Diceros bicornis minor: one gene and its partners. The protein of the gene in region 3 interacts with the protein of the main gene of each other region in a biochemical or structural test. Links are inferred from orthologs where the notes say so. Each region holds a gene or a part of one and is shown on either strand. Other genes may lie near its edges.

Region 1 (7,832 bases), on a different chromosome or scaffold from region 3:
AGTGTTTAATCCACCGTCATGACTCCCTGGCTTTTTTAAATTAATAATCTGACAGAATTCTGAAAGTTAATGTCTCAAACATTGGTAGATTGCTGTAATTTATGCAACCGTCTTTCACATACAGTATCTCATTTGTTCCCAAAAGCAACCCTATCAGATACACAGTTAAGTATTATTATCACCTTCCATAGAACTAACCTCACTAGGCAGCTACTGAACTTATTTTTCAGTTGTGTACTGTCAGCTCAACAACTAGAATGCACTATCTCCCCAGAGGGTAGAGAAGTTGTCCTCCTGTTCCCAGTTGAACCCTCAGAGCCCAGCACTGTGTCTGGGGCATAGTGAATGTTCTAGTAATATTTATGAAATGAATAAATAAAGTCCCTTGTCTGCTTCAAGACCTTTTTGGTATAAAGCATGTAATGCAACCATGTCCCAGATACCCCATTTAGAGTTCAGTGGTCTGTTCTCTATCAAAAGGAAATTGTGTGAAAATGCTCTGAAAACTACAGCTTATACTCAATGATACTAAGAATAAAAGTACACTTTCCTTGGCAACATGGGAAAATCGATGCACATCACATGTAAAACAACCAAAGTTTCAAATTTTTCACTACTAAGTTTAAACATCTTTAACTAGCTTTGGTATATTGAATATGTGCCTAATAAAGAACTTCAGAAAGCAGAGAAAGAGAAAAGTGCGGCCACAGTTCATAGAGTTTTCAGTACTTGAGGACAACCATTTGCCATAATTTGCTTCCAATTTAACTACAAACCCTTACTTTTGATTATGATGACATTTTTACAGGTGGGTCTGAAATATGTGGAATTATCTCTAACTTTTGAAGGTCAGCAGAAAAAGAGACAACTCATTGAGAATGAAATATGTAAATGTTTAATATTAAGAAGCAGCTACAAATCATAACAGACAAGAACTCTGGGATCTAGAGGCCAAAATCTAACTTCTTACACAACAGGCTAAGTTATAAATTATAATCATTCACTAATTACAGTGAAATTCCGGACTTTGCCACCTCAATCAATCAATGTTCCAAAATTACCCCTTAGAAATGCCATATTAAGTCCTAAACATTCCATCTGCGGAAGTTTCCTTAAAAAAGACAAGTTTTTCCAGGATTTTTTAGGTTTCTATTTCCATCCTTTCCCTCTCCAAAAAAAGAATGATTGGGGGGAGGGGAGCAGTTTGAGAAAACTAGAGAATCCTGAATCTGTGTGCACGACGAAGTTAAACAGGGATCACCCTCGGGGTCGTGGTAAGGGAGCGCGCATCTGTGGAACATCAAGACCATCCACCTTCCATACTCAGTCTGTCACCAGACCCCTGTCTGCACCTGCCCTCAAGCACCAAAAAGTGCAGGCTGCTAAGTTCCAATTATTTGCAGTCAGTCTGAAAACTAATAAAAGACTGCAGGCTTGACAGCAACCTTGGTGATTCCTGAAAATCCACAACAGGAAATGTAACTATCCTCCACCCTCCCGAGCCATTCATCAAAAGCAGACCGAGTCACAGCAACAAGGAGGCCAGGGGCAGGAGGCAAACGCCAGCACTATTCCTCACTTAGAAGGACTCCGCGTTTTCTTATTCCGCAACCAAGGACGAGGAGCACTACCCACTGCCCACACTGGAGGGAAGAGGCTGAAGAGGGAGTCCCTCCCTCTTGGGGTAAAATGTCCCCAAGTTCCAAGGACTATCCTATGGGGTTAAAGATGGGTGAAGGCCACGCTGCCAATGTAAGGCAACCTCGACTGCCAGTCCCAGAGGTCACGTTTACAGCTGATGACCAAGGGTCCTGCCTACACCGACTGACCCGGGTGCCTCACCTGGTGCCCGGAACACCGTCTTTGCGCCCGGCTCGGGCTGCCAGCCTCCTTCCCTTCTCCGCCTCTAACGGGGCAAGGGGGTCAGCGCGGCAAACGCACCCACACCTGGGGCCTAAGGGAGATGCCACTGCGTCCTGGGCAGGAGGATGAGGGGCATCCTGGCGCCCTCCGAACTTGGAAAGGCTTCCGAGCCCCCCTCGGGGGCCGGCGCCCAGGCCGTGGCGCTGAGGGCGGCCGCAGGCGGGCGGGCGCCACGATTGGCCGCGGCGGGCAGCGCTCGGTGGGCGAGCCCGGCCGGCGAGGCGGAGAGGAAGTGGCGGCCGCGGCTTTGCACCAACCATGTTCGGCCGGCGGGCAGATGCCACTCGGCGCCCAGAGCGGGGTCAGAGGGCGCGGGGCGGGCACTCACGTCCCCACCCCGCGGCAGCCCGCGCCCCAGGACCCCCGGTGGACGCCGGCCCCCACGCCTGCCAGCAGGGCGCCGCTCGGTCCCCCGAGGCTCCCCGCCCCCACCTCGCCCGCTCCGTAGCCGAGGCGGGTCAGGCCCAGCGCGCCAGGCCGGCCCGGGGGCGCCCGCGGGGACCCGGAGGCGCCCGGCTAGGCCGCGGCCGGGGCAGATGACCCCTCGGCGCGCCGCCCTCCCCGGACGCGCCGCCCGAGCCCCCCGCGCGCCAGGACAAGTGCAGTGACAAAGCCCCAGGGCCAGGCCGGGCGCTGGCCGGCGGGAAGGAGGACGCGGCGTCCCCCCCGAGCGGCGGCGGCGGCCCAGCCCCCAGGAAGCCGGGCGTGCCGGCCAGGCCCGGCGCCCAGCCCAGCTCCGAGCCCGCCCGCCGGCTCCGGCCGCTGGCACCCGCCGCCTGCGCCCCTTCCCCGAGCCCCAGGGGCGGGCGAGCTCTGGGACCGCCGCGGGGCGCACCATCAAGTTTCCTTTCGCCGCGGCTGGAGGCGCCTCTCCCGGCCGGGGCGCGGGCGCAGACAGCCCGGCGGGCAGCGGGTTCTGCTTATTTACGCTGGAGGCTGCCTGGAGAGGGGCGCCGCCGCCGGGCACCCAGAAGGACCCGCTCCCCTCCTTCGGATCTGGTGGCGACGGCATCTGTAAACACACACACGCACACACATGTCCGCGACAATTTTGTTTTAAAAAGGAGGCCCGACTCCAGCGGACCTGCACCCCCACACACAACACCTGGGGCGCAGAATCACACAGAGCAGGTCCGTGTCCATGGAGCCACCTCTCCGCATCTGCAAATCCAAAAGTGAAATTAAACCTCCACCGACCTCCTCCTCCTCCTCCTCCTCCTCCCTCTCTACCTCCTCCTCCTCTCTGCAGCCTCAGCAGCCCCAGTAGCAGCAGCAACAGCAGCAGAACCTGCTTCCCCTAAAATCAGATGATCCATAACGGCGCCGACTGTTCCTCCAAAAATCGGTATTAATATTTATGAACCTCAGCATTTTCCGTCTGCAAAACATCGTGTCAAACCATCAGGACACGCACGCATACATCTCCCCTCCGGTCCTCATAAACATGCCCTCGAGAAAAACACACACGCACAGTCACAACTATTATTTGAAAAATGTTACCTCTCAGTGTGCTTTTTCACGCTACCAATACAATTCCGCAAGGTTTAAGTGTTGCTAGGGTGTATGAAATGGAAATGAAAGCCCGTCAGTTGAATAATCGCAGGAGCAAAACTAAAAGTTACTCCCCGGCTTGCCTGAGAACAGTCCAGATCGAAAGCAAAACAAGGAGAGGAAACTGCGAAGAGCCGAGGCTGGAAATCCCCCCACCCCCCGCCCTCCTCCTGCTTCCCTCCCTCGCTCCCTCCCTCGCTCCCCCCTCCGCCCTCCTCCCTCCGCCCTTCCTCCCCAGTGTTTGTTTCAAGCTTGTGCAACCGGGAGGTGGAGGCGGAGGGAGGGCGCGCGCGGCCCGGCCCGGAGGTGCGGAAGTTCGCCGCCGCCGTTCATTGGCAGGCAGCGCCGCTGTCATCATTTCTCGGAAAAGTCAATTTCATTTTCACTTCCCCACGTCGCGGCAGTGGGAGCAACAAGCGGCTGCTCGTGAGTCTGTCTCTCGCACACCGGGGCGCTCCCATGCGCCGCGCGAACACTCGGGGGGCCCGGGGGTCTGGGGGTGACGGGGCGCAAGCTCGGGTTCAGGCCAGAAGCTAATGGCTGTAGGAGAGGAAAGCGGGTACCTGCCTCTCCATCCTAAGGGTTACCTGGAGGTTGGGCGGGAGGGAGGAGGAGGGCGTCCGGGGAAGCAAAGGGGCTCTTGCTATCCTGTGGGTAGGGCAGGTGTTTAGAACCGCTGTCTTCAGAATGAATTTGCCCACCTCAAAGAAATATAAGGAATAATTAACTGACAAGACAGCGTTACTTAGATATTAATGCAAGAACTGGGCCAAGTGACTTGCATCCTTAACCTCGTTTGAACCCTTATCAGTAGTTGAGAGTGTAACCATGCGAGGGGCTGCTGCCATCTCTGACACCACCTGGCGCCCTGTTTGGGGGCTAGCCACGGGATAAGGAAGGCCTTCCTCTAGTACGTCAACAGTAGCACACTCCAGTGCAACAGCGTTACCTTGCTCCAGGATGACATGGGCAAGGATGTGATTTTACTTAAAGATGTCTTGGCCGTGGCTGGCCCAGGAAAGAGGCTTTACACTGTAGTACTTTCAGCCAGGTTCAAATTTGTACTCCTTAACTTCCAAGCTGGGCATCCTTGGTCAAGTTGCTTAACCTGAGCCCTCAGTTTTCAATTCTGTGAAGTGGGGCTAAATGAGAATGCAAGAATACAGGTACAGTACCTGTCACCTTCAAGCTCAAACTGATACAATTCACTTGGGACCTACTGCTTTTTGGTCCCATGCTTTAAAATGATGCATTCTCATCTAATTATACCTGTTTCTTCCCCCACAGGCAGCTTCATCAGCCTCCTCCCAAACTTCTCTACCCAACAGGGAAACTCCCTTCCTGGGAGGCCATAGCTATTTATATGTAAACACTTTCCTAAAAACATAACTCCAAGACCCCTCTTTGCCACAGAAGTACTGAATTCTATGAACTAGAAAAAGAAAAGTATCCAAATATGCACATGTCGTGAGGAGAGAGCTGAAGGTTTAGGATTCTATTTTGTGGCTGCAGCCTCAGAGATAGATCTCACATACACACGTTCTTTCTTATCCGTCTCGTAGAATACTGTGTGTCACAGCCACTCACTTTCTTATTTCCTGTAGCAAAGACCACTATAAAGCAATCAGAGTCACTATATACAAACTCTGTAGGATTGCTGTCACTCCTTACCCACCCATGGACCCAAGTTAAAAACCCAGTAGTCCTTGACATCTTCCTTCCCCACAACATACTCCAATCAGTAGTATCCTGTTGACCTGTTGATGCTAGTCCCAGATCTCCCTGGACCTGGCCCCTTCTGCATCCCCACCGCATTGCCTTCCTTCGGTTCCAGCAGTGGCTCGTCACTGTGCTCCTTGTGTCCTGACTTGGCCTCCTCCGAGCCAGCGGCCACACTACTTCCAAGTTCAGTAGAAAATTAACTTCAGGTAAAGCACAATTCCAGTCTTAACTCTACCCCTCAAAAACCTCCCTGCAGCCTTAAGAATAAAGTCCCTTTTATTTGACAAGACATATAAAGTCCATTATAATCTGGCATCAAACTACCTTTCCAGCCTCATCTCCTGCTACGGTGCCCCGCAAGCTGTCCACCTCTCCCTTGTCAAACCAGCTGCCGTTCCTCTTCGTAAAACAACAGAGCCATCCTCTCGCTTCTTTTATCTTTAGCATGGTGCCTGGCAGGTAGGCATTCAAATACTTGTGAATTAATAATTACTTGCCCTTTGTTCTCATAAAATATTTTAGACTTTATCAGAGTATTTTATTTTTTAATATAAATGTAATCAATACTTATTATACAGAAGACAGAAAACTGGAAAGAAGAAAATAAGCCACCTGAAATCTCACCAGTCAGGAACAGACCTGTTGATATTTTTATGTATTTCCTCCTAGTAGTTTTTTCTAAAGAGCCATTTCCAGTCTTCATCTGCTCAATCTCTCTATCATTTTGTAACGCCCATTGTGCTGCCATTTCCATGATGCCTGGGTGATATCCCTGTGTCCTGTTCTGTTTCTTGGCTGGCTCCTCTTCTGCTGCCATCCCCCTAAATTATGGTGTTTCCAGACATTCTATCCTCAACCCTCCTATTTTCTCATTCTACCTGCTTTCTCTTTGAGTGCTCTCACCCACACCCAAAGCTTCAGAGATCGCTGTTTGGTGATAACTCCAGAATCTGTCATTTCTGAGCTCTGGATGCATTACCTCCTAGAGGTTCCTTAGGTGCAACAAATTAAACATGTGTAAAACTAGACTCATAACACCTTTCCCTGCAACCTTGTATTTGTCACTTCATTAACCAGCCAGGAAACGGGGAGGCATCACAGACTCCTGCCTTTCCTGGGCCCCTGGAGCTCCCTGAGGCATGAGTATTGCTTCCAATGTTCCATGCCCCTAAACTCACAAAGCATAGATTGAATTTCACTCTTCTCATGCCCCTGATGACGTCACTGCAGACCTTGTAAATACAGCCCCAAAATCCACATGGTATTATATACACAGTCAAGAAATATTTGTTAGCCCTTTGATGAGATGCATATAGTCATAAATCTCTGTGGAAAATGGATCAAGATAGCAAAATATAACCTTTTTGAAAGTCTCTGGAAAAAGTAACCTTTGCCATACCAAAGAAATCTGACCAAACACCTTGGTCTAATACAAACACCCTTGTTGGAACAGTCTTGTATAATGAAACCAGAGTGGTGTCCTCAGTGAGGCATTCTTGTATTTTACCTGTGGAATGGAACATCATAAAAGAAGACCCACCTGGATGCATCAGGACCAGTTTCTTTTCAGGGGAGTCAAGTAAGGACAGTGATTCCCGGGACATGTAGTGATGGATGTCTCCATGAATGGATCTCAACTAAGGAAGAAATTTAAAGATACATTCAAGGTTAACTCCTTTCAAATGGATTTCTTATTTATTTTTCTAATAAATGAGAATAGTTTCATAAAATAATCATTCAAGTCACAAACATTAATTAAGTGCCCAAGAAATTTTCTCAGCACTGGGATACAGCAGTGCACAAAACGAATGAAAATCGCTGCCTTCCAAGAAGTTTTCTTACAGTCTAGTATATTGGCATGTTAATTTCCACTGTATTATCCCAGTAATTGCACCCACATCACCTCCATCTACAATCACAGCCTTTAGAACTGGACGTTAAAGTTAAGAATGTAGATTATGATGGCATACTAACTGAAGTGTTAGGTATTTATAGCTGTGATTAAATCAGTGGCCCCTCATCAGTCTGTCAGTTGATGCCCCACTCTTCTCCACAGTATCACCGGTACCACTTCTGTCCTGGCCACGGAGGCTCTCCTCCATGGTACTATAATTCAGGGGTTATAAAATCATGGAAAATGAGTGTTCCACGCTTGCCAGAGCAGTGGGCCAGTACAGAGCCATAGATGCCAGTTCTGCGTTGCAAAGGATATTATTGTGAAGTCCATGTTGAAGAAACATACAGCCAAGTTAGATTTTAGTGGAGACAATAGAACTGTGAAGATGTTGAAAAAGCCTTCGATCAGAGTTCAAGGAACATAGGCACCAAGTTGGTGAAATTCTTGACTATTACTTCATGTAATGGTTTCTTCCCGTTTTACCAGAAACTCTGAAATGAGGTTCATTTTGTTGCAATTATTTTCTGAAAATAACAAAGTTAAATTGAGTAATATGTTGCCCAATCCTTAGTAATAAATATTAATTTTGTCCTGTTCTTCTGATGAAGTAAGGGAAAAAATACTCTTTAAAATTGCCAGGATATACGTGTGTGTGTGTAAGGGAGCGAGAGAGTTTTTCTTGTCCAAAAGGAAGGCTTTCAACTTTGAAAACTTAATAAACCGTTTTTTGCTATAATTT
Region 2 (7,951 bases), on a different chromosome or scaffold from region 3:
CCGTTTTGGAGGTAAGGCCTCCAGTTTCTGCACACCTGGACGACCGGCTCCCTGCTCTAACAATAGACATAGTCACAATGCAAGCAGAGTGTTGCTTCCATCCTCTTCTGCCTGCCTAGGGTTTCCAGGCACCACACAGAGACTGGCTTCCACCCCAACACGGGAGGCGCGGGTTCCCAGCGCCCCTGCCTCAATCTGCTAGCCAAGGGGCCCGCTCAGGGCCCACAGAGCCTGGACCAGGGGGCGAGCCAATCCGGAAGCCATCCCGCGACAGATGCCCCCGGCCCAGGCCGGCCCCGCCCACGACAGCGAGCCCCGCCCCTCGACCAGCCCCTGCGCAGTTCGCGAACCCGGCTAGCGGGTGCTGCCGGGTGGGAGACCACAGTGAAACTGGCTACAAAAAGATTTTCCAATCTTTAGGTTTCCCGCCCAGTACCGGCCTCGCCCCCCAACGCGGTCCTCAACCCCAGCCACGCCCGAAGCGCTGCCCCAGCCCTAGAACTCAGGATCTACCTGGTTCCGAACCAAGGTTGGCCCCTCCCCCACAGCCACACCCACCCTTGCAGGTACGTTCCCAAGCTGAACTAACACTCCTACCCTAACCCCACACCCGATCTGGGTCCACACACCCTTAATTCTGACTCAGAATTCCTAAAAATGGCCCCGCCTTCACCCTCCACCCCACCACCTGCCAGGTGGTTGGGGGCGGCCAGCGCGTGGGACCAGAAACGCGGGGGCAGCCTCCGAAGGGACGGTTCCTCTGTTATCCGCGGTCCGTGACACCTGCAAACCTTGGGCCGCTCCATTCCAAATTTACCGAGAGAAAGGGGCCCTTCAGCTCTTTGGCCGTGAAGGCTGCAGTTTTAAGTCAGCTTGTGAACTATCTTACAAATGAGAAGGCTAAACGTTTGGTTACAAGGCAACAGTACAAGCTTATAAGTACCCAAACGGGTTTTGAACCTGCCCCAAATGTGGAAAAGTTAAATGTCACAAAAGAGTTCGCATGAGCGCAAAAGAAATATAGAATTCTTTAAACCAAACTGGGGAAGAAAGATTGCCATCTGTTAAAACGTTTCCACCTTGGTGTTTAAAAAACAAAAAACAACCACAATGAATCAACTACAAGATCCCAGGCCTGCGCGATGGAAAGTGCTGCCCTGGAATCGAGAGCGGGCGGCGGGGCGGCGGTCCCCGGCCCCCAGGCTGCCGGCTCAGGCCGCCCGCCCCCGTGCAGGTGCCGCCCGCCCGCATCCGGTCCCCGGCAGGTGAGAGCAGGACCGGGAAGAGGGCGGCGCAGACCCACTCGCAGCGGGCAGGGCACTCCTTTCTGGAGAAGGCGCCGCCGGGCAGAGGAGCCCCTCGGGTCGGGCGCGCCCCCGCGGGCCGGATGGGCGGGGCTCCCACAAAGAGCTGCGGACAGGGAACCCGGACCGCCCCCCGCGTCGGCCGCCGCTGGCTCTGGTTTCGACAAATTAAACCTTAGGGCGCTGGAAAAATTACAGGAAAAGGAGAGCGAAGAATGTGCCGAGCGGCTGGAGGGAACCCTGTCCCCGGGTGAACTTCGCCCGCCGCGCGCCCGAGCCCTACCGGCCCCTCCCCTCCCGAGGGCGCGCACAGCAGACGGGGGAGGGGCTGACAGGCAAGGGGCGGACGAGGGCACCCCCTCCCCCGCTGCTCCCGGGCGCCCCGGCCACCCATCTCCACAAGCAGCACCGCAGCCCCCACCCAGCTCTCCCGCACCTGCCCGAGCTACCCCACCCCGGTCTGGGCGGGGTCCCCGCCCCCAGCCCAGATGACGATATCCGCCCCCGCGGCCCCGCCCGAGCGCGCCGGGAGAGGGGGCGTGCCCGGCGGGGGCGCGGTCGCCCGGCGGGCGCCGGCTCCAAGCGCCGGGACCCGCCCCACGCGGCGCGCGGGGCCGATCGCAACACCGAGTCGCGGGGAAAGGGGCGAGACCCGTGCAGTTCCCAGCCCGACCGCCCCCCGAGCCCGGCCAGCGGCTCCGGGAGCGTGTCAGGCAGGCTCGCGTTGGCCCCGGTCCGCGCGCTCGGGGCGCCCGGGCCGCCCCACTGACCTGTGTGAGTTCTCAGGTGCGCCTTAAGGTGCGAGGATTTCCCGTAAACTTTCTCGCAGCCCGCGTAGTGGCACTTGTGCTTTCTCTGCGGGGACTCGAGGTCAGCGCGACTTCGGCCCCGGCGGCCCCTTTGTCTGAGGCCGGGCTCGCTGCTCCCCGCGGGCCCCGGCTCCCTCTCGGGCTCCAAACCCCCCTCGGGCTCCGGCTCGCTCCACGCCGGGCTGAGGGGCGCGGCCGCCGCGCCTTCGCCGCCGGGGGAGGCGGGCTCGGGGGCGGGTGGCGGCGCAGGCGGCAGGCGGCAGGGGGTCCTCGCCTTCCGGGCCGCGGCGCCCTCTCTGCGCTCCGCAGGGGCAGGCGCCGGCGCTTGCTGGTTGAGGTCCGCCAGGATCCGTGCCACCACAAAGAGCGAGGCACTGTCCTTGCCGTCGCGGCGCTCCTCGACGAGGGGCAGCGTGGCGGCGACAGCGGCGGCCGCGCCCTCGGGTCCGGGCTCCGGCCCCTCCCGCGGCCCGTGCACGACCGCGCGGCTCGACATGGAAACGAGGCACTCGGCGGCGAAGTGGTCCACATAGGCGGCGGCTGCCATGCTGCGGGCTCCGGCCGGCGGGCCGGCGGCACTGCTAGTCGCTGCGAGTCGTCAGCGGCGCATCCGCACCCACGGCCTCCGGAGAGCGGGCTGGGGGCGGGGGCGCGGCGCGCCCTCTCCGCGGGCTGGGCTGGGCGCGCAGCCGCCTCTGCCGTCACCAGCGCGGCTCCGCGTCCGCGAGGCGTCCGCCCAGCCGGGCACGAATGAGTGAGTGCATGGGGGGCGCGGGAGAGTTGGGTCCCCGCGCGGCGTCAGGGGCGGCCTATTCTAAGGATGCCGAGCGGCGACGTTAGGGACAACCGCCCCAAGTCGCGGCCGCAAGCTCGCCGCGCATTGTGGCAGGCGAGACAGCCGCCGTGCGCGCGGCGGCTCAGTGTGGGCGGCCCGGCCCCGGGGGTGGGCGGGGCCGGGGCCACATCTGGACCCGACGTCAGCCCCCAGCCACATCCTGGCGGCGCAGGTTACAGGCGGCGACGACCGCGGGGAGCTGCGCGCGCTGAGGGGGCGGGGATCCCGGAGCGCGCACCGACAGGATAGCGCGGTCGCGCGCCCGCGCCTGGGGAGGGGGCGTGGCTGAGGACAGGGGTGGGAGCCATTGGTCCGTGGATACGCTGCCAAGCCAATCCGGGCCTCCAAGAGGGGCCTGCCCGGCCTCAGGGCTTGCGCGCGCCAATGGGCGTGCCCCCTTGGCCGGCGGGAGGAGGGGCGGAATGGGAGCAGGGAGCCGGGCACGCTGACGCACGACGTCCGAGGGCGGCGGGTCGGGGCGTGGCCGCGCGTGCTGTTCCCCTTTTGCCCCCCCGCAGCGGGGACTCCGCCGGGTATTTTCCTACCAGAGCTTTTGTACTGTGACAGCCTTGAACCCCAGCGCGGAGGCGAGCGCCCCTTTGTCCCTCCAGTCCCCGCCCGTGAGGGGCGCGTGGGTGGGTGCGCCTCGGCGGGGCTCGCCTCCGCTTCTCCTCTCCAGAGCTAGGTTTGCGCGGCGAGGAGGCGTGTCCGCCTGGCCCGGCACGGAGCTGCCGGCTTCGCCTCGGGGAGGAACGACTCCTGCGCTCCCCACCGTCGCCGGGCTCCCGGGTGGCCTCGCCTGAGACTCAGGCCACTCGCTCCCTCCACGCTCTTCCCCTGCTGAGCGCCGGGCCCTCGGCGCGGACCGGCCGGGAACGGGGTCACGGATGGGGCGGGGCCGCTCCCGCAGGAGGGACCGGGAGCTCCCCCGGTTGGTCCGGGCGGCCGGGAAGCCGAAGCGGGTCGCGCTGCCCTTGAGCCCGGGTCACCCGAAGCTGGACTGGCCCCGAGCCGGTGGTTAACCTGGCAGCGTGGGTGACGTGCCCACCGCGTCCCGTGCTTGCAGGAGTGAACTACGTGCTGGGGGCGGCTGGCGCCGCGCTCGGGGAACGTGGGCCCCTTCCTCTCCTTCCCCGCCCCAGGCCTGCTGCCAACTTCCAGGCTGCCCCTCTCCCGCCGCGGTCGGGGAGGCTTCAAACGCCACCAGCTGCGAGGACCCCGCCCACCGCGCCCCACCCACCCCACTGTCTGGGCCTCCGGAAGAAAATGCCGGGCCGCTCCCGCCGCGGTCTCCCCGCCCCGGCCCGCCAACTTGCCCTTGAGTCTTACTGGTGCCGCCACCCTCACTCACCCCACAGCCCTCGCCTTTCTTCTCCAGGCCTAAGCCATCGCCGGAGAGGCCGGTGCGTAACTTCCTACTGCCTCGAAACCGAGCGCAGCAAGCCCCTTTCCGGACCCTCGCCGGCAGCCGTTGACTCCGGGAGACAGGCCAGAGTCTGCAGCCCCTGGTTCATTTGCCTCGATGGACGTTCGAACGTGTCAGCCGCCCTCCCTGGCAGCCTGGAGAGTGAAAGCAGCCTAGGCACTCAACCCCTGTAGACTGAAGAGGGGTGAGTGGGGCAGCGTCGTGCTGCCCACGCGATTAAGAGCAGTCATTTCTCACCAAGTTAATATGGGGCCTGGGTAGAAAAAAATTCTCTTTCCAGGTAACCAAGAGAAACTGAGCCAGGCATTCTGGGTCACATGTCATGGTGAACTGTGAACCGGCGTGGACTTTCGAGTACCCAGAGTATCTGTAACTCTAACCCTAAAGTTCCCTCATTGATGGAGCTGTGCCCTCTGGGAAGACTGCACAGCGCGCTGTGCTGGGGTGGCTCTGTACGGCCCGCTGGGTCAAGTTCCTCTAAGAGGGTCTCTTCTTGGCAGGAAGTAACCATTCTTCTCCCAGGCAGATTGTGTTGATGACATTTAAGAGATTTGTGTTCTGACCAAATAATGATTCAGAATGTTCTTCCAGTCCCACCACATGTCACAATCAGTCACTTTATTAAGGATGGAGCTGGCCCGACACTGACTTAGCCACACATCCCCTCCCCGTCCCTCTCTAGCCAGCAGGATTCTGCCCAGTCTTCAAGGTTCCACATTTTTCCACTTCTTCATGACCTCTGCTGGGACACCCCAGCCTGCACACACATGGGGGGCTCCTACCAGTGGGCACTATCGTAGGCATTGAGTGGACAAGACATCTGCCCTACATGAGGGGAGGCCAACCTGGTCAAGGGTCTTCTGCACTGACACACACCTCACCCCATCCACAGTGCGACACAGTCTACAGGCATCTCGGAGTGTGGCCTCCCTGCGGGTTTTGGCTGTGCCCGGTGGCATTCTAAATGCAAAACTCAGCCTCTTGGCTGGTTTCTCAAGCATTTGATGATTGTTCACTGGAGGAAGCCTCAGGTCCGGCAAGTTTTATCCCAGCCCCACGTGGAAATATTCTCCAGATAAATACAGTTCTCTCCCCCAGAGAAAATCTACCCATGGCTGCGGGTCCCTGTTTTCCTTGCTAAATAGAATTTTGACAGAGGTGGCTTATGTATATATATGAGGGTGGATGGGCATCAAGTGTCGCATGGAAGGAACAGAATGAACACAAGCAGAGGAGGGAGGATCAGACCAGAGCAAGTGGATGCAGATGTGTCTGGGGAGTAAAGAGGCAAAGACTGCAGAGGTGGCTGAGGTTTCTGGAAAAGGTGGTGGATTGATAGCATGTGTTGACTCCAACTTCTGGAGCCTCCTGAAACAACAGTGTTTGTTTGTTGTCAGGTAGAAATTGGCAAGGACAGGGCGAGCAAGGCAGGAAGTAACAGCAACACGATTTTTGAAGCTAAGATACTTAGCAGACCTGAGGAAATGAAATCCTGTTATGTAGCTAGGAAGAAAAGCCAAGAAGAAACTCTGCGGAATCTCCAGAAGGTTCAAAAATGGATGGCACTAGGTACCTCTGGATGTGGGTGTGAATAGGGGGCTAAAATAAGAATAATTGGCTACAAGTCTGCTTAAGAAGCACTCAGATGCCCAAATCCCCCCACCCCCAATTCCGTGCAGCCTCCCCCATCCTGACAAAAGACTGGATGTTTATTATCTGAAGAAGGTAAAAGGGTGTATCTTGGGCTGGGAGCCACCAGGCACAGTTAAGGTCAGAGGTGCCATAACAGGAACAGGCGGGTGAAATGAACGTACAGATATGGGACACTGAGACCACCTCCCAGCTCCCTTTTGGGAATCAGAATGCAGGCAGCCAGGAGACTGGAAGGGTCTTTCCTAGGGCATCATCCCAGGCCAAGGAGAACACCTGAACTTTCTGACATCTGCTGTTGCCCAACTAAACAGCCAGATCACCCTGGAGGGAAGGCCACAGTTAATGACCCCCACGCATGTGTACAGAGCTTCTAATTGGTCTGTCACAGAGAACCAAAGCTGACCTGGCATTTCAGGAAATCCTGTGTCATGAAATCTAAAGCCCCAATAGGTTTTTTTAAAGCAACTTGGAGGAAACAGAGACTATGCAGAGAGAAGTACACATCAACATAACTATCAATAATGTCATCAGAGAAATTAAAGAAGATATTGCAACCCAGCAAAGGAAGACACACAGACATTCAGAGAGCAAACAAAGAGTTCTTGGAAATTTAGAATAAGGTAGCAGAAATGAAAAAACCTGCAAGAGAGGGATTGGAAGGTAAAGTTGAGGAAACTTCTGTGAAAGCAGAAAAAAAGAACCCCAAAAATGGGAAATAGGAGAGAAAAAATAAAAATCAGAGGACCACCCAGAAAGTCCATTGATTAAATAGTAGGAAACCAAAAAAAGTGATCAGAGAAAACAGGGGGGAATCATCAATGAATTAACCCAAGAAAAGTCTCCACAACTGAAGAACGTGTGTTGAAAAGGCACACAAGGAGGCCAGCACAATGGGAGAAAACAGCCGTACCCCAAAGCATGTCGCTGTTCAGAATAATGGGGACAGAAAGTGTCCTGACTTTAGAAGCAGGTCACATAGAGGCAGTCAGGAGTCACAGTGGCTGTGGGCTTCTCCACAGCAACAAGTAGAAGATAGAAGGCAGGAGGCCAAGCCTTGAGAAATCTAAAGGAAAATTATTTTCCAGTCTTTACCCAGCCAAAGTATATACCAAGTATTTTTAGATGCATGAGGTCTCAAAAAATTGACCTTCCATGCATCCTTTCTCATGGTAGGAAGCTGCTAGAAATCATGCTTCACCAAGAAAGAGAAGTATGTGATCCAGAAAGCAGACATTCAACACAGGAGGGAGGAGAGAGGCACAGAGGGCCTCCAGGCCAGGCTGGAGCAGGTCAGAAGCTCTGGGGACACTTCTTCAGGAGGTGAAATAGATAGAATCTCTGTATTGGTCAGGAGTGGCTGGGCGGTGCCGCAGTACAATCAACCTGCAAATCTCAATGGTTTCTTTCTGGCCATGCTGTGTGTCCATAGTGAGGCTCCTGAGGACATCCAGGTTGATGGAGCAGCCTCTGTGTAGAACATACCATGGCAGAGGGACAGGGAGAGCATCAACCCAGAGGTATCACTCATGCCTTCTTTCCCACACGCAAAATACACTTTCCCCGTCTGCGAGTGGGCCTGATTCACTCTCATGAACCTTTTAAATGTGAATCTAGAAGCGAGAGACAGGAAACAGAGAGTGGAAGGGTGACAGGGATTCGAGGTGAGGGAGATTCTGCAGCGTCCAGGTCCAGGTCCAGGACCTCTGTAGGAGGCTCAGCGGTTTCTTCATGTGATGCATGTGGCTGGCTCGTGGGGTTCTTCTTGGTCTAGAGACCTATAACCTAAAGATAAATCGTCTGCGGCCCCATCCCACCCTCAGCCCCAGTACACAATCCCAATGCACAGTGGTGGAAAGGGACAGAATAACACAAGAGCCCAATTCAGAAAGGGGAGAGGTGGGAGATACCCAGCAGACAGTATCCG
Region 3 (7,731 bases):
CTCATTCCCTAACCTCTACTCTCTCCAACTTGCCAAGGGCCGGTTAGGGACAGAAGGTAGAAGAATCTGTCCTTTTGGTCTTTCTTATACGAAGGGTAGAGACCAGTTGAGAAAGAACCACAGATTCTGCTTTCTCATACCCCCTCACCCCAATCAAGCACAGTTAAAAAAAAAAAAAAAAAGGAAATCTGAGATAATGTTACTCCCCAGGTTAAGACTCCTGGATTCTCCAATGCCCTCTTGGACACACACCGCCCCAACCTTGTGGCCCAGCCAATGGAGCGCTCGCTCCTGCTGGCCCAGCTCCAAGCTTTCATAACTTTCAGTTTCCCCACTACAAGAAGCTTCACCTCACCCAGCCCTGCGCTGCCAAGAGTCCTTAGTACCCACTGACACTTCCTCCAGGAAGCCATCCCCACCCCTCCGTGCTGCAGCCCATGAACTGCCCTGCTTTGAGTTCTAACGCCACTCTAACAAAGCAGTTTTTTTGAACGTCACTGGAATTGGTTCACTGCCCACCTTCCCAGGCCTGCAATACACGCATGTGTGCACATGTACACACGCATGGTCGGTAGCTCCAGATGGACAGATTCTGGGTGTCTTAGCCCCAGCATCCAGCACAACGCCTGGCACCTAGTTGGGACTCCTCTAAATACTTGCTGAATGAATGAGCAAATAAAAATAGGCACTCTCAGAGTCTCCCAGGAGCAGGAAGCAAGGCCTTTACTAAGAGAGATTTTTCCCTATAAGTTTACCTACAAGCTTGGTAGCGAATGTGAACATGAAACCCTCAAGTCCCAAACTTTAGAAAAGGTGCTACATCTCACTCATGGAAATATAAAAGGATCAAAAATATCATTGTAGGGCACATAGGCTCGTGGGTTTAGATAGGACTAAAACTTCAGGCAAGTTTTCAGCTATGAAGTTTTCAACAGCAGGCAGCAGGGAGAGAAGGTGCTCACGATGGGAACCCAACTAACAGCTGGGACACACACAGAGCTGACACAGTTCCTCCAGGAGCCCACTCTGGCTGCCCAAGGCCAAGCCCACCACGTAACTGACCTTGGTCTTGATTCTGAGCAGTTCTCCCTTCTGCCTACCACACTCAAAGTCTTGTCTCACCAGTCTAACGCCCTTCAGAACCAACTCCTGGCTTTTCACCTTTCTTAGAAGCACACTCTCCACTTTATCTTTTTTGCTTGTCTTCTTCAGAAACACCAGCCGTGTGGCATTATTGCCTCACAGTTTCAGTTTTCTTTGCTGAATTTAAAAGGGACTAATATATTGTCTGGTTCTGGACTAGGGTCTTGCTACTTGCAGTGGGGTCAGTGGACCAGCGCCACATCATCAAGAGTTTGTTAGAAATGCAGAATCTCAGCCCCACCCCAGACCTACTGATTTAGGGTCAGCATTTTCACCAGATCCCCCAGTGACTCCTACGCACATTAAAGTCTGAGAAGCAATGGGCTGGATCCTACATTCATTCAACAAATATTTATTGAACCAGTGTGGGGTACACAGTGGGCATTCAACATACACATGAGGATGTGAACGGTGCTGAAAAAGGGGTTAAGCACAGACATTCCTTGCGGTTGAGAAGCTCCTGTAAATACTAAAAACAGCATCACCGGGAACCGGGTTCTAGCAGGATTAATAATCTCTAGTCCAAAATTCAGAAGCGGCCACTGCCGCTGAGTTGTGTGAATCTGAAACCCGGGAACTTGACCGTGTTTGCAGTAGGCGGGAGGAATACGTGGGAGGTGTGTGCCTGTGTCTCTTCCCCGCCTCAGCCACAGGCCTCGGGAGCTGACAAGGCCAAGTCCCCGCCCCCCTCAGCTGTCACCCTGTCAAAACAAAGCCGCTGCTGACAGCGCAGGGCCAGCCTGCCCCGCGGCCTCGGGCAATCCTCCCACCCCGGGAGCACGGCGCCCACATCTGGATCTGCAGCTGAGGGGCTACGGGGTGCCGAGGGCTGGGACGGAGAGGGGATGGCAAGAAACGTGCGTCCTCAAACTAAGCAGTCGCGCCCGCCGTGCTGGGCTGTCATCTTGCCAAATCCTGTTTACACCCGGAGCAGCTGGGACAGCCTTTTAACTAAACAAGTAATAATACAATAATGACGAGGCTGTCACCGCGCGCCGCAGCGCCTCTGCCCTCAGCCGAGAGCGCCCGGAGCTCCAGGACCCTCGCGTCGGGCTGTGCCCCTCTTCCCACCCTGCGCGTTCCGCCCCTTCGATCTCCCAAAGCGCCGGGAGTCCGGGAGCCTATTCCACCCTCACTCCTCCCACCTAGCTCCTTCCAATGGGGCACGGGGAGAGGACGGGCGAAGATCCCCAAAAAGATGTTTCCTTGGCCCCGGGGCGCTCGCCACACACTGAGCACTGCTCCGCTCCCTGGGAGGCGCCTCTGGCGGGCTCCTACAGAGCAACAAAGCCCCAGGGCAACCCAGGAGCGCGGACGCAGAGGCAACTCCTTCCGAGGGGAGCAATGAAAGGTTCTCGGTCTTGGTGATTCCCCTTCTTCCAACCCAACAGGACTCTTGTCCGAGAAGCAGCTAATTGGGTGCGGGCGACAGCAGCACTTCCGCGGTGCAGCGGCCCCGGGCGGGAGGCAGGAGGCGGGGGCGGGAGGGGGAGGGGGCAGGGGGCTCGCCGCCGGGCCCCAGCCCCCCGCGGCGGTCCGGCGCGGCGAGCCCGTACCTTGCAGGCGGAGTACACTCCGAGTTTCTCCAGTTTCTTGGCCCGCGGAGCGGAGCGCAGTTGCGCCTTCTTCACGGCGATCCGGGCCGAGCCGCCGCCTCCCGGTCCTTCGGCCGTGCCCGCCGCCGCCACCGCCGTCGCCGGTCCGCAGGCGCCCGAGCCCCCGGCGGCGGCGGCGGCGCACGGGGAGCCCTGCGGGGGCGCGGGCGGCGGCGCGGGGGGCTGTGCGGGCAGCGCCCCGAGCCCGGCCCCCGCCCCGCCGCCGGCCGGCCCGGCCCCGCCAGCCTCGGACATGCCGCCCCGGAGCGCGGCAGCAGGCGCCGAGTGTCAGGCGCCGCCGCCGCCAGGGTCTCCCGCTCGGGCTCCGGTCGCCGGGAGAGCGAGACCCTCCCCCACGCCCTCCCGCCCCCTGCGCCCACCCCCCTCCCCGCCCCCGCCCGCCCCGCGCGCCGCTCGCCGCGCGCTCCGGCCGCGGCCCGCGCGCTGACGGCGGTGGCGGCGGCGGCAGCTGCTCCCCCAGGAGGGAGGGGACTAGCGGCTCCGCGGCCGCCGCCGCCACTGCACACGCCCTCCCCCAGTGCTCCCCGGGGCTCCGCGCTGCGCCCTGGCCGCCGACATGTTCCTCGGGGCTGCGCACCGGGGGCGCCCCGGCCTCTGGCCCGCGGCCCGCGGGCTCTGCGCCCCCCACCCCCGCGCCTCGGCGCCCGGCGCTCGCCCGCCAGGGGGCGAGGCCACGCTCGGGGTGAGGGCGAGGGGGGATGAGGGTGGGGGTAGGGGGCCGGAGCCCAGGCACCTGCTGGCCGCCTCCGTCTCCGCAGCCCCCCCGGCCGACCCCCGCCCTGCCGAGCCCCCCCCCCGGGGGCGGGGGCGGTGGGGCGCGGGAGACTCCCAGTTATTTGTTCTTCGCCTCTATTCCACCCTCTCTCGGAACAGAGACAACTTCCTCCACCCTAGCGGGAGCCAGAGGAAAAAAAATATTTTTGAAAAGTACCCGTCCATGCTAATCCTTTTCTTTGTTGCTAATTCACCAAAATAAAAGCGTCATGTTTCCTATTTTTTTTTAAACGCTTTTCTGTCCAACTTTTTTTAAGAATGCTTTTCTTCCTATAGCAATTTCTGGATCTAATCTGCCAGCGGAAGGAAAAGACTGTGAATCAATATTTTCTGTAAATTTTGTTTGAAAGTGCTGGCTGTTAAAGGAACGGTTGTCTGAAAGCGCTGTCAGAATGAAAACTATGCGCAGTGGGAAAAGTTTGAATACAAAAAGTTGGTTAATACGGTTCATCTCTTCATGGTGGGATTCTAACCTTGCCTTTTTCTTTTCTATAATGTTCCATAGTTTTCAAAATTGATATCACCAGCATGCATATTAACCGTGAAAAAAATTTAAGCAGCATCCAAAAGAATGAGTGTTGATTTTGGCCTCAAACTTAAAAAAAACACACACAAAAAACTCAACTCAGCATTTTCATCTATTGTTGAAACTGTTGAAAACTGTCGTTTTCATTGTTAATGACAATGAGGGTGGTGTTTAGTATTGTGGAGTGCATATTTCAGTTTTTCATTTGAAAGTTGTGCACCCTTGGTTGGCCTTTCTAAAGCAGTTTGCAAAAGCCCAGCGTTATTTTTCAGGACCCTTCACAAGTGCCCTGCTTTTGTAATATGAGTCATAATTTTTATGTAATATGGGTCATAATGTGCGTATTATCAAATTCTTTGCATGCCGTGTAACTCTCGCCCAGCTCCAACCAGAGACGCCTTAAGGAATGTGCTTTCCCTGGAAACATTCCCCTTCCCATCCCGTTATTGTCAGTTAATTTGTTCTATCCTTTTTCTAGATTCTCTATGTTCTTTTGACTTTTAATGCAGAGTGATATGTTAAAATGATAAATAAAAAAAGTTTGTAGATCTAAATAGTGACATTAGACTGCACAGAAGGCAATAGCCTCTTCCAACTTCCGCGCGGTGTGAAGGTCTGAAATGGCAGACTCATCAGGCTCCATCAGGACACTTACTTGCCTGCTGGCTCTTCTGAGGTGTTTTGCAGATTTTTTTTTTGCGGTTCTCACCGAAGCAGGATGGGCTTCTTAAAGGCTGTGATGCCCTGTTCAAAATCTAACATCATGATGTTAGCAAATATGTGCATTTGAGCATTTCACTGGATATAAATTTCCCTCAAATAGTAAAAAAAAAAAAGAAAAGATAAATATTAATTCTAGTTAATGGTTCTCATGCTGAAAGTGTAGGGGTGCAGAGTCCTGATATCTGCAGCCTGCTTTGAGATGCAGAAATAAGATAGATTGATGCATCTGTGAATGGGCCAATAGGCAGATGAACAGATATATAATAAAGCAAGTAGAGCAAAATGTTAATAGTTGAATCTAGGTAGTGGGTATAGGAGTGTTCACTGTGCAGTTCTTTCAACTTTTCTGTATGTTTGAAATTTTCCATAATAAAATGTTGAGGAGGGAAATCCAGCTTTAATATTAATTCAGCCATCACCTCCCCCTCCCAAGCTGTCCCCAGAATTCAGGAGGCAGGCTATTTCCAGGATCTTTTGAAGCAGAAGAAAACAACCTCATTTCAATCCACCTTGAAAACCATCACTGTCTGAATGGTGAATGGCTTGTGACATCAACTGAACATTATTTTTCATTATTTTCCTGCTCTGAACACCCAGATGACATACTGCCTTAGGCGGAAGGCCCACATTTTCACGACCTATTCAAAGCGTTATGAGCACCAGGCAGGGACATTTCAAGGGCAAAGGATTCAGGAGGCTTGTTGCCTCTTCATAGTCAGGCTGTTGTGAATATTTATTTAGTAAGCTCCTGTGTGCAGAGCCCTTTTACAAAGTGGGTACCAAGAAAATAAAAGGCAATGTTTTAGTTTACAAAGTATTTACAACTGTGAAAGGATTTCCATCTAAAATGGAACTGGAGGATATGAAATGGAGACTCACCCTCAGAAGAACAGAAGTTAAGAACTGAGAGACTGATTTCCCATAAATGCCTGAATTACAGAAGATAAGACTTACCTCCTGACCAATGAACATCAGCCAAGAATCTCTCCCTAGCCTCAAGCCAATGAACTTACTGCTGGCTGGACTTCCCTCTCTTTGCACTCCTTGCCCAGAAATCCAGCCCACCCAAAACCTTTAATGGACTCGCCTGTAGCTTGCTACAGCATGCGTTTTCAGAATTGCAGTTCCTCAGCTATTACCAAATAAACTCAATTTCTGGTGGTTCAAGCTTGCCTCAGTTTACCTCTTTATTTAGGTTGGCATGACTTACTGAGGTAAGGAAGCCACAATTAGAAAATAAAGGGCTTGGAGAGTAGGAGTTGCAGGGGGCGGGTTGACCACTGGAGGTTGCTTCTGGTATATTAATCCTATAGAGTGTTACGCAGCTGTTACAAAGAATAACTTTTATACAAATGTAATAGCCTAGACAGATCTCCAAGAAATACTGTTGAAGGAACCTTGTACAGTATAATACCATTTATGTTAAAAACAAACTCACATTGACATATAAGCACAATTCTGTATATGTTCAATGAGTGCATACAAAAGTGCAAAACCAAGAGGAAGATTTAGAAAGATACACAGTAAACTCATTAATGTAGTTTCTTTTCACTGGGCACCCTTGAGAATGAAACTTATTTTTCTCATTTATGTATTCCCAGTTCCTCACTCAAAAAAAGCTCTCAATAAATACTAGTAGTCATTTCTACCTGTAAACTTTATCTTCGATCTGTTCATATCTGTCTCCATGGCTGTCACCTCTCGGCCAGAGTGCCAACAACAACTTCCTTCTGGTCTCTCTGCTTTTACTCTTGCTGTACCACAATCCCCTCTTCACAGTACAGAGTTTTACAACTGTAAATGCAAACCTGATCCCACAATTCCCCTTGAAACCCTCCAATGGCCTCTCCTAACATTTAAATTACAGTCTCAATTCCCTAACCTGTTTGGCAAGGCTCACCTCCCCTGGCCCTTCTCCCTGGTGTGAGGTACACTCCAGCCAAACTCGGGAAGCTCTTGCCTGCCTCAGGAGCTTTGCATGTGCTGTATTGCCTGACACCCTCCCCCAGAAGGCATGGCTGGCCCCTATTCATCTAGTATCCCTTGCTCAAAGATGCCGTCCCACCTAAGAAAGGCAAGTTTTGTGACCATCTATTGTTACTCCAACGTCTACTACCTTTTTGCCATCTTCCTTCCTTCCAAGCCCACACAGCTTCTGTAATGCACCTGAACCCCACAGGTGGATTGAAATTGTCCCCACTGAGGGCTCAGACACCAAGGGCTAAGTCTGGACCAGGCAGTATCAGAGCAGGTTTGCCCCACTGTGTGGCCAGTGGCTAACATCCTTCCTGGCACAGCCACCTGCTTTTAGAGACAGCGGCTTGACATGAGTGTAAAATAAAGACACGTCAGGTAGACGTCTCAGTGTGGAGCTCCTTGGGCCGACTTCCCACTGGAGAAAGTGGCTGTGAGTACTGGACATTTATTTTAATGATCTCTAAAACAAAATCTATACTTCTAAAGAAAAAGTACTGAAAAAAATTTATAAAATGAATCCTAAGGTGGGGAGACATAAAATCTCTAGTTTTCAAGCATTTACCCGATTAAATCGTCATTTCTGATGTGAGTCTTAACCATGCCTCATATACACTTATTGCTATTTTATTCATTTTTATTTTTAGCTGTTCTTAAATAACAATTTCCCATATTTAATATGAATGGGCCTAAATGTGATTGGCAGAGCATTGCCCTTGTAAGGAGAAAGGGTTGTTTTCTGTTTTAAATACTAACACATGCATGTTTTAGCAGCCTACCTGCCATTTACAATGAAGGTACAAAGTAAGGAAAAAAAATGAAGTCTCCTTTCTTCTGAACTCAAGCTAAATGGCTGACTGCTTTTCTAGAGCAATATGAGTATTTATCTCTTTGAGCAACTTGAAAATTATGTAAGAAAATCAAATTTCCAAAGAACCAAACTTTGATATGACCTAGATTTTCTGTAACAATCTG
Region 4 (5,525 bases), on a different chromosome or scaffold from region 3:
TAGTTTCCCCAATGTTCTAGGACAGGGTGAGTTCAGGCTCCGGAAAGAAAGGCTAGGGGCCCTAACTAGCCTTTCTGCCGTCCGGACGCGCCTATTCACCGCCCCCCCCCCCTTATTTAGGGCAGCCTAAATAATCCCTAGGGTTCCTACTTCTCTGAAATCCTTACACCGCTTCTTTACCCAGCAGGGAAACTTCAATCTCCATCAGAAACGTACAGAGGCAGGGAGGGGAGGAGTATTTCCATGTACAGTTTAAAGAGCACCTGGAGGGTTGGTCAGGGGGAAATGGAACGTGGGTCTAGAAATACAAAGATGTGAAATAGCTGTTTTTTGGCCACTGCACTATAGAATTGTATTTCTCTTAAAGCGAAGTGACCTTCAAAGCACCATCTTGGCTCTAAGATTGCCTCAACTAGCAACGTTATTTGAATAAATTCCTTAGGACTCAAACTAATCAGTGGTCAAGACAATTATTCCACTAAAAAAGGGCAGTTACAGATCTCCTTCGACAAAGTGGGTGGCTCTGAAAAGAGCCTTTGGATTAAGGTGGTGCCTACACAAGCATTTACTTGGAGCTGGTGTACTTGGTGACGGCCTTGGTGCCCTCGGACACGGCGTGCTTGGCCAGCTCCCCGGGCAGCAGCAGGCGCACGGCCGTCTGGATCTCCCTGGACGTGATGGTCGAGCGCTTGTTGTAATGCGCCAGGCGCGACGCCTCGCCCGCGATGCGCTCGAAAATGTCGTTGACGAACGAGTTCATGATGCCCATAGCCTTGGACGAGATGCCGGTGTCGGGGTGGACCTGCTTCAGCACCTTGTACACGTAGATGGAGTAGCTCTCCTTGCGGCTGCGCTTGCGCTTCTTGCCATCTTTCTTCTGGGCCTTAGTGATAGCCTTCTTAGAGCCCTTCTTAGGGGCAGGAGCCGACTTGGAAGGCTCAGGCATGGCTTTTCCCAAAACCTGTAGAAACGCGAATAGCACTCTCCACAACAAAGTCTAGTACTGCAGACAGTCCAGAGCCCATTTATTTATAGTTCTTAAATGCAAATGAAGGTTCAAGATTTGTCACTCCTGATTGGACAGAGCAGCACACTACGGGGAGATGTTTATGCAAATCAGGGATTCTCATTCTCTTTTCCTATTGGATAGAACACAGTACATTGTGACCAATCGGATAGCTTACTAGCGCATCCTTGCACTGTGCATAAAATAATTTCTTCAAGCACTGGTATACATTTCTTCGCCTTCTGCAAAGGTTTTGTTGAATTTCTTTAGATTACTATGTCTGGACGTGGGAAACAGGGAGGTAAAAGCCGAGCTAAGGCCAAGACTCGATCATCCCGAGCCGGCCTTCAGTTCCCCGTGGGCCGAGTGCACCGCCTGCTCCGCAAGGGCAACTATGCCGAGCGGGTGGGGGCCGGCGCGCCGGTGTACCTGGCGGCGGTGCTGGAGTACCTGACGGCCGAGATCCTGGAGCTGGCGGGCAACGCGGCCCGCGACAACAAGAAGACGCGCATCATCCCGCGCCACCTGCAGCTGGCCATCCGCAACGACGAGGAGCTCAACAAGCTGCTGGGCAAAGTCACCATCGCGCAGGGCGGCGTCCTGCCCAATATTCAGGCTGTTTTGCTGCCCAAGAAAACCGAAAGTCACCACAAAGCCAAGGGCAAGTAAAGTCTACAACAAAACAACACATAACTCTCACGTTTTTCAGCTACCTAAAGGCTCTTTTCAGAGCCATCCATAGTTTCACAAAAAAGCTGGTAACCGAAGCCACGCCTCGTTGGTAATATCAGTCTTGAATCTTTGCAATATACAAGGTACCGTTAAAACGTTTCAGTTCCAGAAAAATAGGCTGTCCACAACAATTATTTTAGTGCACTACAGGTGACACTTGGGAAACCGACAAGGTGTTTTTAAAATAAAGCCAGGGTAGGAATGTCACTCGAACTCGAGACTAACAAGGAGCAGGGAAAATTTTCCGTTGGCTGATAATAGAGCTGCTCGGGGTTTTTGAGTTTCAATTTAAGCAAAAACCATTTGTCCAACACAAGTCAGCGAACATTTGCTGCGGTCCAGTGTGTTATCTGGCATTACTAGACCAGACGCTTTACATATGATTTTCCAAATAATCCACCCAGGGAACCTAGTGCCATGTAATTTCACACAAGAGAAAACAGACTCGGGATTAGGGGAGATAAAATGACTAAGAGCTGGGAAGCGGCAGTCCAGGCGATTCAAGATTTATTTTTTAAAAAGCTAACTCAACTTGGGGAAAAGAAAACAAGGTTCAATTTAGTGTGCCGACCAGCAGGATTGACATATCTGCGAGCGTGTCAAGAATTCAGTGTATCAGGTCCCACTCAGATTAACTGAATCAGAAGTTACATTCAACATGGTCCTTAAATGGCTAGTTATGCACACTGTACTTGGTGACAGGATGAAACAGAACATTTGAAAATTAATACCTTCAGGTCTCAAAGACTAAAAAATAGTACAGGGATGGGCGGTGGCATAATTCAGCCAATCAGATTCTCTAGTAATGAACTAATCCTCCTGGTTACCCTTGAGCCAATGGTTTTATCGCGCGGGACTTTTGAAAAATGACAAGACCAATCAGAATGTTTCTAACTATATTTAAAGGCAACTTGGCTTCTGCATGCCACAGATTCTGGGTTTGTCCTTAGTCGCTCCAATGGCTCGCACAAAACAGACTGCTCGCAAGTCCACCGGCGGGAAGGCGCCGCGCAAGCAGCTGGCCACCAAGGCGGCTCGCAAGAGCGCGCCGGCCACCGGCGGCGTGAAGAAGCCCCACCGCTACCGGCCCGGCACGGTGGCGCTGCGCGAGATCCGCCGCTACCAGAAGTCCACCGAGCTGCTGATCCGCAAGCTGCCCTTCCAGCGCCTGGTGCGCGAGATCGCGCAGGACTTCAAGACCGACCTGCGCTTCCAGAGCTCGGCCGTGATGGCGCTGCAGGAGGCGTGCGAGGCCTACCTGGTGGGGCTCTTCGAGGACACCAACCTGTGCGCCATCCACGCCAAGCGCGTCACTATCATGCCCAAGGACATCCAGCTCGCGCGCCGCATTCGCGGAGAAAGAGCATAAAACAAGCTTTTCCTCTTGATTGAAAAAAGGCTCTTTTCAGAGCCACCCACAATTTCACTTAAAAGCAGTTGTAATTTGATTGTAGATCTCAATTGCTAATAGGTAAGATACTACGCATTGTAAAAAAGTGTAAGTATGTAAAGCTTGAAGGCGTATAGTTAATACCACGTATTTGAGACTTTAATTGGCTGCTTTCTAGATTTAAATGAGATCGCTGTAAGCGGCAGTAGACCTATTAACTATTAAATAGCCACGTGTTGCCTAGTGACTTGTAGAAAGCAATTATTTTACTTTGACATAGGCACAAAAAACTATATTTGTGTACAGGAAATGGAGGCCAAAGTAAGCTTTTGTGCTTGGATTGTCCAGAGAATTTTCTCTAAAGTAGTTATCTTTTGTCTTTAGTTTTCAGAAACACGTTCATATTGATCCTCTCATATTTTCTTGTTTAACTGAATTTGGTCCAAGACAACAGTGAGTATATTTATATAGAAGACCCTGACCGTGCCCTGTCACTCCTACTTTTAATCCATCTAACATAATACAAATAAGTCTAACAGCAATATCAGTATACATAAAATTACCAGTAGTCCACAAGACATTCACATCTGGCTCCAGAATCCGGTATTGGTCTATCTGAAATGGGATTGTAGTTGAGGCGATAGAAACTGACCTCAGTACTCACCACCAGAGGTCCACTAAATAGGTTTATGCAACAAGAAAGATGACTTGTTAGGAACTCCAAAGTTCCTTTGCTTACGCTTAAAATCAATGATATCTGAGATACTGAAGGGTATCAACTATAGAGCTTCTCTCTTTTACCCATGCCCCCCTTTTAATAAATACAAAAACATCAAGTGTTAATTTCTTTTTTTTCTTTCCTTTTTTTTTGTGAGGAAGATCAGCCCTGAGCTAACATCCATGCTAATCCTCCTCTTTTTTTTTTTGCTGAGGAAGACCGGCTCTGAGCTAACATCTATTGCCAATCCTGCTTTTTTTTTTTTCTCCCGAAAGCCCCAGTACATAGCTGTATGTCATAGTTGCACATCCTTCCAGTTGCTGTATATGGGACTCGGCCTCAGCGTGGCCGGAGAAGCGGTGCGTCTGTGCGAGCCTCGGATCCGAACCCTGGCCGCCAGTAGCGGAGCGCGCGCACTCAACCGCCAAGCCACGGGGCTGGCCCTGTTAATTTCTTTTTTAATTTTCCAAATATAAAAGTATAATGTAACTGATGGAATAGATCAAGGTTTTCTGAGCCCTAAAGCTTATACAACTTGGTGACTCTTAAAAACTACCTTACAAAATTACAAATACAAAACCAGACAGTGAATGTTAGTTTATAATAGGGGAATAAATCAACAAATTCCAATATTACAAAAACAGACAAAACCATAGCCATCACAGAATTTAGAAAAATAGCACATTAACCCAAATACAACACCATAAACCTTTGTTTTTCTGTATTTTTGACTGCATACTCTGATTCCATTTTCAAATAAATATTTTGTAATATTTTTTTTATAGACAAGGGGAAGAGAATTCAGTATTTGCTCCAGGGTGATTGATCACAATTTGCTTTATTCTCTTGATAACTTGGAAGAGTTTCAGCTTCAAAACATTGTTGATAAAGTCAAGTAAGTTTTTAAGATTGTTTTCAAAGTTGGGAAAATCCTCTGTCAAGCTTCTTTCATATGTGAATGTAAAATTGGGAAGAATTCTTCACAGACTAGCTTCTGGCTCTATACATTTCAAATCTTGATTCTTCTCTACTGTGCACTCATTCCCAGTGCTGGGTGCTATGAATACATGAATGGCACATGGCATCTAGTTCTGCATCTTCTTGCAAGAAATCCAGGGGAGTTTGTCAGTGAGCAGAAGGAATATTCCTTGAAGCAATTCTTACATCAGATTGGCTAGCAACAACTGAACTATATATGAGCACATCTGCAAATTACACTATACACCTCATTAACTCCAAACTAAATACATAGCCAAGTAAATTTTCTCTTCACAAATCCCAAATATGCTCATCAGCATCCCAACATAATCAGACAAAAGGTGAACTGTAATGGAAGGGAAAATTGAGTGGAAATAATGATTTTAACCAGCTGTGATTAAAATATCTTAACATTGCAGTTTTTAAAAACATGAGACCGAGAGACCACACCCCCAGGGGCCCCTCCCAGGGCATTGGAAGCACAAGGCCTGACACTTGACTTTCAATTAGCTTCAGGGTAAATCTGCCTCGGAACTGACTATGCTTTTCCAACTGATACATGGTCTTCACCTGCCCTCCCACCACTCTGTTCTAGCACATCTCAGTCAAGTGCCCTAGGAATTGAGAGTCACTGGTCTTGGATGACTCTCAGGCCTCTGAGGTACAGCACTGCTTTGCATGATGCTTTGGATGGTGGTACT

Evidence for each region.
Region 1: the proteins of KAT2B (region 3) and IRF2 form a complex in vitro, tested with the Homo sapiens proteins (2 studies listed by BioGRID, with this or other methods). The link is inferred for Diceros bicornis minor from reciprocal best matches to the Homo sapiens genes KAT2B and IRF2.
Region 2: of the proteins of KAT2B (region 3) and KLF13, one has a biochemical effect on the other in vitro, tested with the Homo sapiens proteins (2 studies listed by BioGRID, with this or other methods). The link is inferred for Diceros bicornis minor from reciprocal best matches to the Homo sapiens genes KAT2B and KLF13.
Region 4: of the proteins of KAT2B (region 3) and histone H2B type 1-B, one has a biochemical effect on the other in vitro, tested with the Homo sapiens proteins (3 studies listed by BioGRID). The link is inferred for Diceros bicornis minor from reciprocal best matches to the Homo sapiens genes KAT2B and H2BC3.

The regions. Positions count from the first base shown.
Region 1 is NC_080768.1:16,193,135-16,200,966, forward strand, and holds the start of IRF2 (interferon regulatory factor 2), read right to left. Parts: upstream 3,007-7,832; 5' UTR 2,936-3,006; coding exon 2,759-2,935; intron 2,050-2,758; exon of another isoform or gene 1,843-2,049; intron 1-1,842. UniProt on the Homo sapiens protein: Specifically binds to the upstream regulatory region of type I IFN and IFN-inducible MHC class I genes (the interferon consensus sequence (ICS)) and represses those genes. Also acts as an activator for several genes including H4 and IL7.
Region 2 is NC_080744.1:78,296,012-78,303,962, forward strand, and holds the start of KLF13 (Krueppel-like factor 13), read right to left. Parts: upstream 3,019-7,951; 5' UTR 2,661-3,018; coding exon 2,075-2,660; intron 1-2,074. UniProt on the Homo sapiens protein: Transcription factor that activates expression from GC-rich minimal promoter regions, including genes in the cells of the erythroid lineage. Represses transcription by binding to the BTE site, a GC-rich DNA element, in competition with the activator SP1.
Region 3 is NC_080741.1:25,827,503-25,835,233, reverse strand, and holds the start of KAT2B (histone acetyltransferase KAT2B), read right to left. Parts: upstream 3,005-7,731; 5' UTR 2,994-3,004; coding exon 2,700-2,993; intron 1-2,699. UniProt on the Homo sapiens protein: Functions as a histone acetyltransferase (HAT) to promote transcriptional activation. Has significant histone acetyltransferase activity with core histones (H3 and H4), and also with nucleosome core particles.
Region 4 is NC_080753.1:42,262,421-42,267,945, reverse strand, and holds histone H2B type 1-B, read right to left. Parts: upstream 972-5,525; 5' UTR 947-971; coding exon 566-946; 3' UTR 517-565; downstream 1-516. Other genes in the region: histone H2A type 1-like, read left to right, coding at 1,283-1,675. UniProt on the Homo sapiens protein: Core component of nucleosome. Nucleosomes wrap and compact DNA into chromatin, limiting DNA accessibility to the cellular machineries which require DNA as a template.